Linked DNA regions of Rattus norvegicus. The protein of the gene in region 2 interacts with the protein of the main gene of each other region in a pairwise test. Links are inferred from orthologs where the notes say so. Each region holds a gene or a part of one and is shown on either strand. Other genes may lie near its edges.

What was found. The genes of interacting proteins can lie anywhere in the genome.
Region 1: the proteins of Spg21 (region 2) and Dtx3l interact in binary tests that used the Homo sapiens proteins (3 or more experiments, as listed by UniProt). The two-hybrid records come from large-scale screens. The link is inferred for Rattus norvegicus from reciprocal best matches to the Homo sapiens genes SPG21 and DTX3L.

Annotation. Positions count from the first base shown.
Region 1 is NC_086029.1:78,319,059-78,323,199, reverse strand, and holds the start of Dtx3l (E3 ubiquitin-protein ligase DTX3L), read right to left. Parts: upstream 2,862-4,141; coding exon 2,678-2,861; intron 744-2,677; coding exon 496-743; intron 1-495. Other genes in the region: protein mono-ADP-ribosyltransferase PARP9, read left to right, coding at 2,791-3,043.
Region 2 is NC_086026.1:74,893,035-74,896,666, reverse strand, and holds part of Spg21 (maspardin), read right to left. Parts: intron 447-3,632; coding exon 338-446; intron 1-337. UniProt on the Homo sapiens protein: May play a role as a negative regulatory factor in CD4-dependent T-cell activation.

The DNA.
Region 1 (4,141 bases), on a different chromosome or scaffold from region 2:
CTCATCTCACCTTACCTTTTCTTACCCTCTTACTTTAAGAAAACCCCAAAGCAGCCAAGAAGTGGTAGCATAGGCCTTTAATCTCAGCACTCAGGAGGCAGAGGCAGGTAATCTCTGAGTTTGAGGCCACGCTGGTCTACAGAGTGACCAGGACAGCCAGGACTATATACAGAAACCTTGTCTTGAAAAAAAAACATAAACAAAAACAAAAATAAGCAAATAAATAAAATAAAAAGAAGACACTCACCCCCCCCAAACTCCTACCTACTTTCTCAGGTTTATATAGCCTTGTTCACCCTTCTCCAGTGTAACAAGAAGGATGTCTCACTGAAACCCATGTCCAGAGAAGGCTGTTTCTCCCTAACTCAGGCTGACTGAGATCCTGATAATCTACCTGTTCCAACTAAGCTTCATTCTTACCTGTGCACAACACTGCCTGAATACCCCGAGGGGAAGCAGACCCCAGAGCAGCCCAGCTCCTCTGTCAGCACTCACCTTTTGGACAACTGAGTCAACAGAGTTAAAAACGGGCCCATCACTGGGTATCTTATCACCCAGTGCTTCATCCAGGGACTCTGTCAAGGACGGAGGTCGGGAGCTTGGTGTCTCAGCTGGCTGTGTCAGTGATGGAGGTCTGGGTCTCAGGTCCTCTTCTGGCTTTTTAATAGTTTCCAGGACAATAGGCACAGATTTGTCATCAACCAACAGCTTGTGTTTTCCCCTTTTCAACACATTCTCCTTATCTTGAGGGGAGACATTAAACACATACATTCACACAGCAATGAGAGAGGATTTACAGAAATGACCCTCAGGGTCCCTCTAGGTTGATTCCAGAAATGTCCGAGGACACCACCTTCAGCGATATCCCTAACAAGCTTAGGGCTTTCACATAAGCTACGCATACTCTCCCCTATGCTTTTGTGTTTGTTTGTTTGTTTTTGAGACACCAGGTAGTCCTGGCTGCCCTGAAACTCCCGGTGTAGATCAGGCTGGCCTTGAACTCACAGAGATCTGCCTGCCTCTGCCTCCAGAGTGCTGTAATTAAAGGCATGTGCCACCACTGCCCACAGAGACTTTTAAGAATTTCTAGATGAATTTTTAATCCTTCACGCAAGCTAAACACTACGGGTGAACCCTAGAGTGTGGAACTGTTGCGTAAATTTCCCCAAGATTGAAACATTCTACCCTGCAGAGAAGTTCCTTAAGCAAGAAGGCAAACAACTCAAAATAGCTTTAGGAAATCCCCGAAATTGAATAGGCCCCTCCCTGACAGAGTAAGCAATAAAGACTGTTGGGAAGAGTCCTCCTGAGACTCCAAGAACAGAGCTTCGATGAAGATCTGCATAGGAGACTCTCGGACAAGCCAAGCTGAGAAGAAAACTTTGACACTAGAGAAGCTACCTGCAGAAGGTGGACACTAAGCTCCCTGGAGGAGGTTTACACCAGCTGAGGCACCTGGAAGGGATATGCTCAGGAGCCTGCTTGCAGGCTCTACAGTGAGCTCCAGGTTCCCAGCTTCCTGAGCTGCCCCCCATGCTAGGTCAGCTTTGGCGATAGAGTTGTCTTTGAGTCATTTCCCATATTCCTGTGAGTAACCCCAATAAACACATTGGTTTACCAAGTTGGACCTTTGCAGTATCTGTTGTAGGCCCCTTGTCAGATGCACACAGAGGACGTGAACAGTTATTTCTGGCATATTCTGGAACAGCAGGCTGTTGATGGGAGAAGCTATTCAGAACTTCAAAGTAGGGAGCTTAAGTTTTACCATATTATATAACTTGGTTATTAGAAACCACGTTTCTAGTCTGGGCATGCTGGTACACACCCACAGTCCTAGCACTTAAATGGTAGAGGTAGCGGTGTGTGTGTGTGTGGGGGGGGGAGATCATGAATTCAAAGCCAATCCGTGGTACACGGCAGGATCCTGTCTCAAAGGGTGGGGGTGGGAGGGAAACCTATGTTTTGTAATAGTTTTGAGTCTCTTATTTCAATGACGTTGAATAATAGTTATTGCATAGTTAAGTGGGGACCCCCCCAAAAAAACCCAAGAATCCAAAAGTCTAGAACGTATATGCATTAGCTGACTCAGAAAAAGAATGCATGAAAATGCTTTCATTGGGGACATTAGTGGGGCACCGCATGCCTTTAATCCCAGCAGAGGCAGGAGGATCTCTGTGTTCAGCCTACAGAGCGAGTTCTTGGACAGCCAGGGATACAGGGAGAAACCCTGTCTCTAAAACCAACCAAAACCAAACAATCTTCAATTAAGTTTTCATTTGCCTTTCCTTTTTAAAGTGGTCGTATGTTACTTTTGTAATCCTTAAAAAACACATCGATGAGATCATTATTTACAACAGGAAAGTGGCTTGGAGTCCAGACCCGTGGTGGAGCACTTGCCTAGTGCGCACAAGCTTCTGGGTTTCCTTCTCAGTCCCAACCCCCACACTTTGTTTCTTTTCTTAACTGGGTCTGCTGGGAAATTCTCCGATGGAGTCAACCGTCTGCGGGTGGACTCATCTGAGGCTCTATCTGCCACTGAGCGATGGAGGAGTCTGTGGACCGCACTCTCCCACAGGCAGAGAGAGCCACACTCTCCTCGGAAGCATGCAGGGGTCGGTTTGGAAACCTGTTGGATCCACCTTTGCACCCGAGCCTTATTTCCCCTGCCCCGGCTCACCTGCTTTTTCAAGGAACTTCACCTCGAAGGTGTCCGGGGCGCCGGGCCCCACGGGATGAACAGAGCACTCCCCGCCTCCGGAGGCCCGGCTCTGGAAATATATCTCCAGCTTCATGTGCGCTCGGGGGATGGACTCCGGCAGCCTTACGAGTAGTGGGGACGGCGGGTCCGGACTGGAGGCCATGGCTGGCTGCGTCTGGCTCGCTTGGGGCTCAGGGGTGCTGCACAACCAGGACAGAGAGAAGGCGCGTCCTGCCCCAGAGACCCGAGAGGCAAAGTTTCAGTTTCGTTTCCCGGGAGGTCCCTCCCTGTTCCCCGCAGAGCCGCCGCCTCTCTTGCTCTGCAGTCGGCCAGGGCCATCACCCGGTGAGTAGTTCGCATACTTGGCGGTGGGCGCTTAGAGGCCCCGTGGTGGCAGGTCGCCTTCTTTTCTTGAAGGAACGGAAGAGTGGCGGGAACCGGGTTCTCAGCCTCAGGCTTCCCAAGGGTGGAGCGGAGTAGAGGGTAAAGAGTTTCACTTGTTTGTGCTTTTGTTATATGATTTTGTTATATGAGTATTAGAACTGGTATTTACTGAGATGCGATTCTGATTTCAAGTGGAGGGAGTTTACCTGCTTGGTGACCTATCACCAGTTCTTTCCCCTTTAGATGGGCACCTTAGGGATTTTCTGCTCTGGGGCCTTAAGTCAGCGAATAGCACAGATCTACTTGCTTCCTAGAGAGTGAGGTAAAGAGGCACTCAGCACAGAAGCAATAAGTACCTGTGAACCAAGCAAAAGTCAAAGCGCTGGTTTCAAGCGGAATCTTAAGGTGGGGTGGGGGAGGGGAGGAAAGTATCCTTCCTTGGCTGGTAGAGCTGAAGTCCAGAGGGTTCAGTTCCAGGGCCAGGGAGAGGAAGAGGAATCTTGGTTGTCCTTCTGACTGCGTCTAGAATCATCTAAAACCCTAGCTAGCTGCATAGTGCTTGGGGGCAATTTTCTTGATTGGGTCATTTGAGACCGGAAGACCGACCCTAAACCTGGGTCACACCTCCTGGTAGCAGCCTATATAAAAGGACCAGGAAAACGGAAGTTTTGAGTTTTGTCTGCTCTCCTCAAAACAGACAAGTGCACCCCAGAGCAGACTCCCATGAGCAGCCTCCAAGGAACCTTAGAGGTCTTTCTTCTATGAAAGCAACACTGCCCTCTGGAGGCTCAGCGGATCCCGATCGGGCGGTTTCGGTATTCGAGTTACTCCTCAATGTGCATGGCTAACTGGACTCTGATGCTATACCCAGTTTTTTCTATTGCAAAGACATTATAGATCAGCCCAGAGACTCAGTGATAGCAACGGTTTTAGATAACGATATTGTAAGTTTTAGTCGTGAGTCTAACAGTTCATAATCTTTAGTTGTATTAGCTTACTAGGCTAAAATCATGAAAAAGTAAAATTTCCCAGAGCTTCAGGTTTTCATCCAGACACCCT
Region 2 (3,632 bases):
CCTGGCTGTCCTGGAACTCACTCTGTAGACCAGATTGGCTTTGAGCTCACAGAGATCTGCCTACCTCTGCCTCCCAAGTGCCAGGTTCCTGGGTTTAGGCCCCAGCAAGCATCACTCTGCTTTCTAAGTTGCTGTTGGGTTTGAATGTGCAGCAGCTGCTGGGAGACCTTGATGCAGCTAAGCCCTGACCAGAAGAAGCAGAGTCTGTCTGAAGTACTACAGTTAATACAGAGGACGGCTTCACAAAGACCTCCCCTGAGCACACCACAGATGATGGACCCCCTTTACACGTGCACGGAAACCCCAGTGGAAGTGCCTACAGTGTCACCGTTCTTACCCTGTCCACCATGAAATCGATGGCATCAGCCATCATCGGGTCCACTGGGCCAGAGGAAAAGTTCCCCAGAACTATTTTCTTGAGCATAAACGCTGGCATCAGCCAGAAGCTGCAAAACAAGGACAGAGGCTGGTGACTGACACAGAAAAGGAGAGTGATCTTTAGCACTGAAGCTCCATCACAGCAGGACGCCTGGAATCCAGAGGAAGGCTGAACAACCAGCCTGAGTTACACAGTGAGTCTGAAGCTTGTGTGTGTGTGTGTGTGTGTGTGTGAGAGAGAGAGAGAGAGAGAGAGAGAGAGAGAGAGAGAGAGAGAGAGAGAGAGAGAGAGAGAGCGGGGGGGGGGGGGGATGACTGAAAAAGAAAAAAAATCCCAAGAATTCTTCAAGTAGGTTTACAGATAAATGAATGCTTAAATAAAATGGAACTGATCATTAAACTAGAGGTCTTTAGGTTTACAAGACTTGGGTAATCTTAGCAGTGACATATATATATCTTGAATCTATTCGCAAAGCTAAAAATATGTTTGGGTCTGTTAATAAACAAGTTTTCTTAAACTGTGTGCATGTAGAGAAACAGTTTAGGGTTGCTTTGTTCTTGACCTGAACCCAAAAGTGAGGTCACCATGAGTGAAGATTGGAACTAGCATGTAATTCTATATAAGCAAGATTACAGAAAGGAATTGCGCTGCATTCTGATGAAGACATCATAAAATCATAAAATATAGCTTACTGAAAAGAACTGTCTAAATTTGGCTGTTTCTGTAAAGTTTGTTTTAAACTATAACTCTGTTGTTACTGTTTGGCTGCGACTAGAGAGCCTGGCTGCGGGAACTTGCTGTACAGAGTAGCCAGCCTTGCTTCTTGCTCCACAGCTAACACATGGTCTGATGATCTGCATTTCAAGGAAGGAAGCAGGAACCATGAGCGAAACGCAAAGAAAGGCACAACTATGAAGTAAGTACGAAGACATTCTGTGGTGAGGGAAGTTAAAAACAGAATTTGTTTTCTAAAAAGGATTTGTTTGGGAGAATAATAAATTGTTCATCCTGAAGTAGAATGGTTAGATTGCTCCAAATGGTACAAGAAAGGCAAGGAAACACCACAGCGAGTAACAGAAAGCTTGTGAAGGAAAACCTGAAAGAGGAAACCGAGATTAAGGAAGCTGGGCAGTTGGGCCAGGCAGCTGCTTCCCCTCTGGCCAGGCCTGTGGAGGTCTCGGGTGTTGGACATTTACAACATGGCTTGCTTAACTGACAGAATAACAACCTTCCCCACAGAAAGACTTCCTTCCAAGGAGTAATTCACTCTATCTTTGCGGTGTATTGACTGTACATGCCGTTACCAGGAGATGAAGGAACACTGACTGATCAGGCGAGGCAGGAGGGACCAGTAGATCCCCAGTGGCTAACAGCACCCATTCCGATGATGAGACTATACCGGGACACAACCGATGGGGAATGCCTCCCCGGGAGCATTACTGGACATGAATGCTATCAGGCTTTAGGAAGTGCTGAAGGGTTTCCCAAACAAGAGACTCAACCAGATCGGGAGCAACAACAAAATGCCAAAGATCCACTTCAGGTCCTAGAGAGGACAGATCAGTGCTGACCGTGAGGTAACACAACATGTGGCATGTGCATATTTAAAGCAGAATAAGGGCTACAATGTGGCTTGGTTGGTAGAGTGCTTGCCTAGCATGCAAAAAGCCTTGGGGTTCAATCTCCATGACTGCATAAATTCGGTATAGTGGTTCACACCTATAATCCCAACACTCGAGAGGACCGGGACTTTTAGGTCACACGCAGACAGCTGGAAGCCAGCCTAGAAAACATGGAACCCAAAACAAAACCCCAACAAAACAGAGCTGGGGAGATGGGTCAAAGGGTAAAGTGCTTGCCCTTCAAGCGTGAGGGCTGGAGTTCACATCTGTAGTGCCTGAGTCAATGCCGGGAGTGTGTGGGAGGTCAAGGCAGGGGATTCCCCGGGTAAGGTGGCAGCTTCTAGACTCTGCCTCTATCTGAGACAATGATGGTGGAAGATATTAGATACCAATCTCTGCCTCTGAACACATGACTGCCCCCCTCCACACCCCCATAAAAATCAGAATAAGAGAGATCTATAAAGGATTGAGGGAGCATTTGTACAAACTTGTTCTGGGGGAAATGATGTCACCTTTATGGTGTTTAATAACACACAGCAACTGCAGGAGGAGGGAGCCAGACACTGGCTGCCTCCTTGCTGGCTGCTGTATTAGACTGGAGGAAAAGCTCTCTCCAAGCACTGAGGTGCCTGAGGCAAGGGACTGGCACACCTGGGCCAAGGCGGAGGAACAGCAGAATAGAGCGCTCTAATGTGAAGGTACGAGGGCTGGAAGGAAGACTGGGAGGTTCACAGACACAGAAAGACTCAAAGAACTTACGACACTATACAACTGCCCATAGGAGTCCTGGGTAAATCTGACAGGCAACAATGACTTGATTTCCTGCTGGATATTAGTACTATTTGTTCAGAACTGAAATATTAGGTAGCCAGGACAAAAAAATAACACTTTACAGACTACTTACTCTTCTGATGAGAGGCTTGGAAAGGCAGAGGCCATCCTTTTGTAACCTTCAGAATGCAACTCTGGAAGTCAGCCCAAAGCATAGGTTCTTATAGATGCTAAAGTGCCTATTTCCCTTCAGGGACAAGATCGCCCACCTACCTATCCCACATGCTCAAGTAACCTTTCCACCAGGACAGCTCAGGACAAAGGTCCAGCTGAACAACCTGAAGTCACCGAAACAGGTAACAACAGCCCTGGGATGGGGGCGGACAGGGCTCAGAGCAAGACAAAGTTTAATTCTCAGATAGAACTGCCGTAAAAGAAGGGGCAAAGATCCTCAACTCATCACCCTTGGAGAGAAGGGTCAAGCCTCGTGTCTTTTTGTAACTAGACTTAGTCATTTTATGTGTAAGTGGTTTATCTGCGTGTATGTCTGTGCACCACATGCTTGTACTAGCTGGGCATAATGGAATGAGCCTTTAATACTGGCAGATGTCTGAGTTTAGTGAGATCAAAAAAAAAAGGAAAATCTTTAATATCTATAAATATAAAATCCTGCCAGACTCCACATAACATCAGAACTCAAAAGACACCTTCGACTGAGTATCAAGGTCTAAGGGAATAGACTTGGGGAGAACCTGCTCTCCTAATGCCGTTCATTTGCTGACAACTACTGCTCTTGGAGATTACAGGGACCCCCTTCACAGTTCCAGGAGAAAACAATCCCAAGAACTATTTGCACGTAA